Macaca mulatta: one gene and its partner. The protein of the gene in region 2 binds, or shares a complex with, the protein of the main gene of each other region. Links are inferred from orthologs where the notes say so. Each region holds a gene or a part of one and is shown on either strand. Other genes may lie near its edges.

Evidence for each region. The genes of interacting proteins can lie anywhere in the genome.
Region 1: CHCHD6 (region 2) and APOO share a complex: the UniProt entries of both Homo sapiens proteins name them as parts of the mitochondrial contact site and cristae organizing system (MICOS) complex. The link is inferred for Macaca mulatta from reciprocal best matches to the Homo sapiens genes CHCHD6 and APOO.

The regions. Positions count from the first base shown.
Region 1 is NC_133426.1:23,700,477-23,704,812, forward strand, and holds the start of APOO (MICOS complex subunit MIC26), read right to left. Parts: upstream 2,804-4,336; 5' UTR 2,568-2,803; coding exon 2,559-2,567; intron 1-2,558. UniProt on the Homo sapiens protein: Component of the MICOS complex, a large protein complex of the mitochondrial inner membrane that plays crucial roles in the maintenance of crista junctions, inner membrane architecture, and formation of contact sites to the outer membrane.
Region 2 is NC_133407.1:157,207,209-157,210,770, forward strand, and holds part of CHCHD6 (MICOS complex subunit MIC25), read right to left. Parts: intron 2,028-3,562; coding exon 1,883-2,027; intron 1-1,882. UniProt on the Homo sapiens protein: Component of the MICOS complex, a large protein complex of the mitochondrial inner membrane that plays crucial roles in the maintenance of crista junctions, inner membrane architecture, and formation of contact sites to the outer membrane.

The sequences.
Region 1 (4,336 bases), on a different chromosome or scaffold from region 2:
TCCCAACACTTTGGGAGGCTGAGGCGGGCGAATCACGAGATCAGGAGTTTGGAGATCGAGACCAGCCTGGCCAACATGGTGAAACCCCATCTTTACTAAAAATGCAAAAAAATTAGCTGGGTGTGGTGGCAGGCGCCTGTAATCCTAGCTACTGGGGAGGCTGAGACAGGAGAATCACTTGAACCCGGGAGGCGGAGGTTGCAGTGAGCCGAGATCGCACCACTGCACTCCAGCCCGGGCAACAGGGCCAGACTCTGTCTGAAAAAAATAATGATAACAATAATAATCATCTCAGCTCACTGTATCTTTCCCTTGACACATCAAAACTGAGTTTCCAGCACTTCCCCCAATGGAATACCACTGATGTTCCCCCGCTCATTTACCTGAAGAACTCCTACCTGTCTCAAAACTAAATTTAAGTGTCCCGTCTGTGAAGCCTTCTCTGAAGTCCCCAGGGGTTCTTTACCTTTTGTTGTGCCATGGACCTCTTTGGCCGTCGGTGAGACCTATAGACCCCTTCTCAAAATGATGCCTCTAATTGCATACAAAAAAGTGCCAACTATATTGAAATAATCTTATTTTTTAAACACAAATATCTGATATAAACAGTATGTGCTTCTTTACTAGCCCACTAAACAAAAAGATCTAGCAGTGAGTCTTATTAACTATCATAGTTCTGAAGTAGTAATGAGCATAAATGATATTTTGAGATCTGCAACAACTGTAATGTGATATGAAAATGTCTGTGACTTGTGCTGATACTGTGACTTCCACTGGTAACAGGTACTGCTAATACTACTGTGGTTTGTTAAGGTAGGAGCTTGTAAAATGAATGGCCCCAGTGAAGTGCACCAACTCATGTCTATGACCTTGTGTAGTTCCCCACTGTATCAACTCTGGACTTGGCTGCGTGACTTGTTTTGACATCAGCAAACATGATGCTGTGTTTGTGCCTTGGGACTTGCCCTCTTGGAAGTCAGTAACCAAGTGAGGAAGTCCAAGCTAGGCACACGGAGGGGCACCAAGCCCCCAGACATGCGAGTGAGGCCAACTTTCAGTCAAGCCACCAGCAGAACTACCCAGCCAACCCATAGATTTTGAGAAACAATTCTTGTTTTAAGGCACTGGTTTGCAGTGATTTGTTACCCAACAATAGATAATTGAAACATTACCCATAACTAAAGGAAGTGCTCAATTCCAATTGGAGATTGCTAAAAATAGTTATATTTTTTCACCATCAGAGTTCAGGGACCCCCTGAAATTTATGTGCAGGTCCTTTGAGGAGCTGAGGGCCCCAGGTTAGGAACCCCTGGTTAAGCCAAGTGGATCCTGCTCTCCTTTTCACTACCTTACTACAGTGTTGGTACACATATAGTTAAACTGGCCACAGCATATCTTTCCTTGTCGTAACCCTGAAATGGAGCTGAGCTCCTAGCACATAACAGGTGTTTAATACACAAATTTATCAAATGAATGTTGATTATAGGATCTGTCTTCCTGACTAAACTGTGAGCTGCCTGAAAACAGAGTAAGAGCAAATACTAGGCCTTTTCCAAGTGCTTTACACATACCAACTTACTTACTCCTTATAACAACCCTATGAGGTAGATGTTTTTACACCAATTTCACCAAAAAAGAAGATAGGCACAGAGAAGGTAAGTGACTTGCCCAAGGTCACACAGCTAGAAAGTGGCAATGCCAGGACTAGAAGGCAGAATGCATGTTCTGATTTTACAGCCTTTATTAACGTACCCAAAGCACATTGCAGAGCTCAACAAAACTTTTAAATGAATACTACAATTCTGAGATTTCATTAGCACTATTTTATGGGTACTATGCTTCTTGAAGACTCAATTTTGTAGATTAATTTCTGGTAGCCTGTGATTTTTTATGACAAAATACATATAATTTACTTTTTAAAAAGTAGAATAATGGCTTTATACTACAGTGCAGATTTTCGAAATTAAGTCTTCATTGTAAAAGTCTATTTTTTTCCCAAAGGACACGAGTTCACAAAACGCAGGGAAGGGGGTCCACTGGTCCGTATTAAATAATGTTCCCTGGGGAGTGGAGCAAAGCTCCAGCTTTCGTCGTCACCCAGCCATCCCACCCCAGCCTCCCCCATACCCTGCACAGCTTCTCCTAAAATGACCCTCCCCCATCCACACATCAGGTTCTGAAACCTGACCCTGCCAGGCAACTAAAGCCGCGAACCCCGCAGTGCCCTGAGCTGGCCTCCCCCTACCCACGATCCCAAGAGGGCACCAGCCGAAGGGATGGGTACTTTGGGGGAAGGCACTTTACATTTTCAAAGTGTTTAATTCACGAAAGCACAACCCAAAGGGCCGCCCCCCACCCACCCGGGGGTCTCTCGCCTCCGCCCGGCAGCCGCTCATCCACAGTAGACCAGTGAATGAACCGCGGGGCCGGGACGCAGCCGGCCCAGTGGCGGGAAAAGCCTCGGGCCTGGCCTGCGGAGAGGCCCCAAGAGAGCGCGGGGAGGGCTCGGGCAGCCGGGAGGGGGCGGTGACAGCTGTGACCCGGCTCCACGCTCTCACCTTGAACATGTCGCTAGCAGCGGTGGCTCCGGCAGGGTCACCCCGGCCTCGGCCACGCCCACTACAGAGAGGTGACTACGGAGGCCCGGTAGGGCCTTGATTTCTCCAACCGCAAGCGGGCCGCGGTGCGGGTAACGGCCGTACTGCAAACTCGGTGCGGCGAAGGCTTAGTTCAATCACCCCGTTCTAGAAGCCGCGTCGCTGAGCTGCAGCGCGTCGCGCCCGGGCGGCGGATGAACGCAAACCCCGCCCTCCAAGAGGCTCCGCCCCTGCGTCGGCGGTTGCTAGGCGGCAAGAAAGCGCCGGCTCTGTGTGGGTGGTACGCGGAGGCGCGAGGAGGGAGGTGCCTGGCGTCGCGCGGCGCTGGGAAACTGTCTTTGCCGCGGCGACCGGGCGCCCAGCGGCGTGGACTGGGATTTCTGTGAGCAGAGGCTGCCGGGAGGGGGCGCTTGGAGGGTCTCGGGCGACTTCGAAAGCCTCGCAGCCGGAAGCCGCCGGTTGGCGGCCTGGATTTATCTTACGAAAGGTTTTAACCGTGGACTGGAGGTTTCTCAGGTTTTAAATTTAAACTAATATGCTGTGTCCTTTAATCGGAAAAGGCTCTGACCTTATTTTTTCCCTTTAAGAAACAAGCGGTAAGCCTCCTCTCTGGGAATCAAATGTTTGTCCCTTAATACTTGTAGAAGTAAATGATAATGGCAATAATTATCTTATTAACAAGAGTAACAAGCACTGATACAGCACTTTGATATGCGCAGTCATGATCTAAGTTCTTTATTCACATTTATCTAATCTTTCCAACGACGGAAGTAGGTGGGCATGGTTATTATTCCCAATACATACATGAAGAAACTGAGGCACATAGAAGTAATTTGTACGAGACCACACAGAAAGTGGGAAGCTAGGATCCAAACCCATTAGTCTGCCTTTGAAACCTGTGTTCTAGCCAAAACAATTGTTTCACTGTCTCATAATGAGGATGTATTTCCTATTTCATTCTGTATTTCTGCCCTAATCCTATAAAAAGTGTAAGCCCTATCCGGGCGGGCATCTGGAAAAATTTGGAATTTGTGCAGTGATGTGCCACTGCCCTCCAGCCAAAGACCACTAGGGGCACACCTGTAGTTGAAGAAAATGGGTTTCTCATTGCTCCAAGGAGAACGCACATGTAGGAACACAGTGGCATATTTCAGTAAAAGAGTTAGATTTATTATAGGATTTGGGCTTTGGTTCGGTGATTTTGGGGTACGTTCAAGGAAGCAGGAGCTTTGCTCTGGATCGGGTGTTGTTAGGAAGCAGTGGTAACACCAAGGCCCAGCTGTGACTGCCAGCCAACTCCCAGATGTTAAGGGCTGCTTTTCTCTTTCTTAAGAGGATTGTATATTCCAAGGCATCCCCAAGGAGAAATATTGAATAGACTCAGAAGGCTCTCTGCATCAGCAGTGTAACATCACACATACGTAAAAGTGTGAAACATATTGATAAATTAGGGCAGAAGGTCTTAATTCATGGGGTGTGCGAACTTGTATGGGGGAAAAAATGACAACTTCATTTTCACTAACCTCTAACTGAACTTTGTTTCTTTCAATTATAGTGTAGACAACAAGCCACAGTAGTATTAGCATTGATGACTTTGTCATCAATAGAAAGCACAGATATTTTCATGTTACCTTGCAGTCGTGTCAGAGATCTTGAAATATTTACGCTCATTACTGCTTCAAAAATACAGTAGTCATTAGAGCTCATTTAATGCATTAAGACACATTTACTATAATTTT
Region 2 (3,562 bases):
GGTTGTCAGGCTACCTGCAGAGGAGTAACAACCGATCTGCCTCTCAGAGACTGACTCTAAGAGCCTCTGAAGGCATGCCCTGGCCCCAGTTTCTCACTGTATCAACTGATTCCTCACCAGGATGCCACGGGGTTCTAAAAGCACAAGTCAGATCTCATCACTCCCATCCTTACAAACTTCAGCAACCACTGACTGTTTCAGGATCACTGTGGGCTACTTTGAGGGTTAACTCCTCAGCACATCCAAGGCCTTCTAAAATCTGGCTTCAAACCTCACTCTTCTCACTGGATCTGATCACCTCCTTAACACCCACCTGTCTCAGCCCAGCTGCCCCTCATCCTTTAAGGCTGAGGTTAAATGCCCTCTCTGATCTACCAGCTCTGATCCACCAGCAGCTTACACATTTGCATTTCCAAATCTTTTCCTCAATTTAACAACTACTGTAACCAAACTGGCCTTTTTCAAAGCACAAGTCAGTGCTTGTCTTCTCCACAGACTAAAACTTCCTGAGGGCTAGGATCCTACATTGTTTGTATTTCCCAGAAGGCCTGGTTCAACGTGCATTTATGTGCCCACTGCACACTTCAAACATTTGTGTAGTCATCAAATTAGTAAGCTAAGGCCTGTGCCCAGCCAGCATGTCTGCCTTCCCCCCTCCCAGGAGAGCACAATCCCAAATGATGCTCTCACATCATGTTCAACCCCCTTCTAGGCCACACCGTGTGTACCAGGCTACCCACCTAAAGTAGGGCAAGGCTGTTCCTGGTCTCAAACCTCCAGCAGATGTTATTAGATGCTGCCCACAGCCATGCTTCCCTCCCCCAACTTCCTTGCTGTCAGTTCTAATTCTGGCTGGATGCGCAATCTCCCTAATGTGACTAGAAAAGAGCCCTAGCTGCAGCCAGTGGAGCCCTCTGTATCCCCTCTGCTGAGGACTGGCTTAGCCATGGGCACCTGGTACAATTCAAGTCAGTGTGATGTAAGAGGAATTCTGCCAGGAGCTTCTAGGAAAGTTATCCTTGTGATAGAGACATAAGGGCCGGCATAGCCTCTCTTCTTCTACTGAGGGTTTTACTGTCTGCATGGGACTTGTGGGGCAGTAACAGCCTTTATTAACCATGGGGACAGCCTCCCTAGGATGCACTGGCACACTGTGGATGGCAGAGTGGCAGGAAGAGAAGCATCACGTCTATGATGATGCTAGTGAGCCACTGAATTAGTCAACCCTGGGGGCACTTTGAGACTTCTCATGTTGCAAAATAAATGCTGCACTTAAGCAAAAATACCCTAATAGCCACCCATCACTTAAATGTATTAATGACAATAACAATAGTGCACTCCCACAGTCTGCTGGCATGTGCTAAGTCCTGGACAAATACTATCTCCTCTGATTCCCTGGGCAGTCCTGTGTGTGAGCATCATGATCTTCGAGCAAGGCTCACAGACAGGGTGTCCAGGATTTGCACCCAGCCTACCTAACTCTAAAGATGATGCCCTCCCTGTCATATATTACATGGCTCCAGGCCTCTAGTCCTCTCTCCTCACACCCTCCCGAAACACATACCACTGCAGCCCTGACATCTGTGAAGTTTCAGAGCTGAATGAGACTGTCAAGTGATCTAGTCCCTTACTGTATAGACTTGAGGCCACAGAGACTGAAAAAACATGCCAAAGGCAGCAAAGCAAATCACTGACAGAGCCAGGGCTGGGAGAACCCAAGTTCCTGGCTCCCAAAAGACCCTTTTCCATAGAGGTGAAGCCGAGCACATCCCAGGGGCAGCCTGAGCCAGCAGGGCTTCAGACTAACCAGGTGCCAGGGCCCACCCCCTCTTTCCCCGAGTGCTGCCCAGCTCAGGCTAGTTCAGGGAAAATCTGCACTCACCAGCCGGACTGACTTCTGCTCCTCATGGCTGATGCTGCCTTCACCCATGGGCAGGGATGCCTTGGAGTGCTTGGTGGCAGCCTCTCTTTCCGTCTTTGCCACCTGGAAGAGCTTATCCTGGACAGCAGCATGCTCCTGTTCACACCTGTGCAGAAGAAAGATGAGGAGAAACAGATGCAGATGACATGACGGGCAGCCCATAGCCAAGACAAGGTCTGCGCACTCACTTCAGCTGCCAGGGAAACGCTGAAACCAGCCAGCAGCCGGCCAGGAAAGGAGAGAGTGCTGTAAAACCACACGCCCCATCATTCCACGCCTGAGCTCAGGCATCACTGACAGTTCCCCAGACAAGGGGAGACAATGACACTGAGCCAGGACAACACAGCTCAGGAACAGGAGGAGACCTGGCCAAGTAGGCAGCCCCATGCCCAGTGAGAGTCTCAGGGAGGGGCTCAATCCACGGATTGCCTCCACTTGAGAGCTTGAAGATTGGAGATGGTAGTAGTCCTCTGTTTTGAACATTTAACTCTTCATTCTGAATATGTTCCTACCCTTTGACCTATTTCTGGGCATTCTGCCTAGTAAAATAATCCTATAGAGAAGAAAAAAGTTATTAGTGCTGAGATGCTCTTAACAGTATTATTTATTATAGTGAAAAAAATGCAAGCAACCTAAATGTCCCAAAATCAAGGTCAAGCTAAAGTAAATATGGTGTGATCATATAATGATCTATGACATCACCACTAGAAAATATAGTCTTTCATTTGTCTGTAGGTTAAATCTAAAAACTGAGAACCAATAAATGCTTTTAGTAATAAAACTGCTTATAAAGCAGGTGAAACTAATGACAAATCATTATAATACGAAGTGAAAATAGCAAGATATGAAATTATCTATGACTTTCAAAAAATAACCCTAAACAGTGGGTAGGGGATTCTGGGTGGAGAAGAACATGAAATACTCCAAAATATTAATAGTGGTTGTCTTGAGATGATGAGTCTATGGGTGATTTTTTCACTTGATAAATTTTTAAATCTTTCATTAGCATGTATTACTTTACCATTTTGAAAATGTTTAAAAGTACCAAAAAAGCGGGGTTCAGGTTAGTAGTTGGCTTTTTTTCTTTTTTTTTTTTTTTTTTGGTTTTGGGTCTCATAATGTGGCCCAGGCTGGAGTGTAGTAGTGCAATCATAACTCACTGTAAACTCCAACTTCTGGGCTCAAGCAATCTTCCCACCTCAGCCTCTTGAGCAGCTGAGACTACAGACGTGTGTTACCCCCAGTTAATGTTTTTAATTTTTTTTGTAGAGACAGGGTCTCACTATGTTGCTCAGGCTGGGCTCAAACTCCTGACTTCAAGCAATCCTCCTGCTTTAGCCTCCTAAATTCGCTGGGATTATAGGATTGAGCCACCACACCTGGCCAGGTCAGTTATTCTTGCTGAGACCTATTAGGGAGAGTGAATCTTAGAATGTGGGTCTTAACCCATGATTATGCAACAGACCCAACATGGCTGAACTACTAGAAGGCAAACGCCCAACCACGGCTGACACTGGGCCCCCTAAGCTGACCCACTGGGTCCTCTGACCATACTGAGGGCAATTGCCTCAAGGATGCTGAAGAGGCCAATCAGTAACAACTACTGTGAGGGTCCACTGAGAACTCTGTAGGACAGGTGCT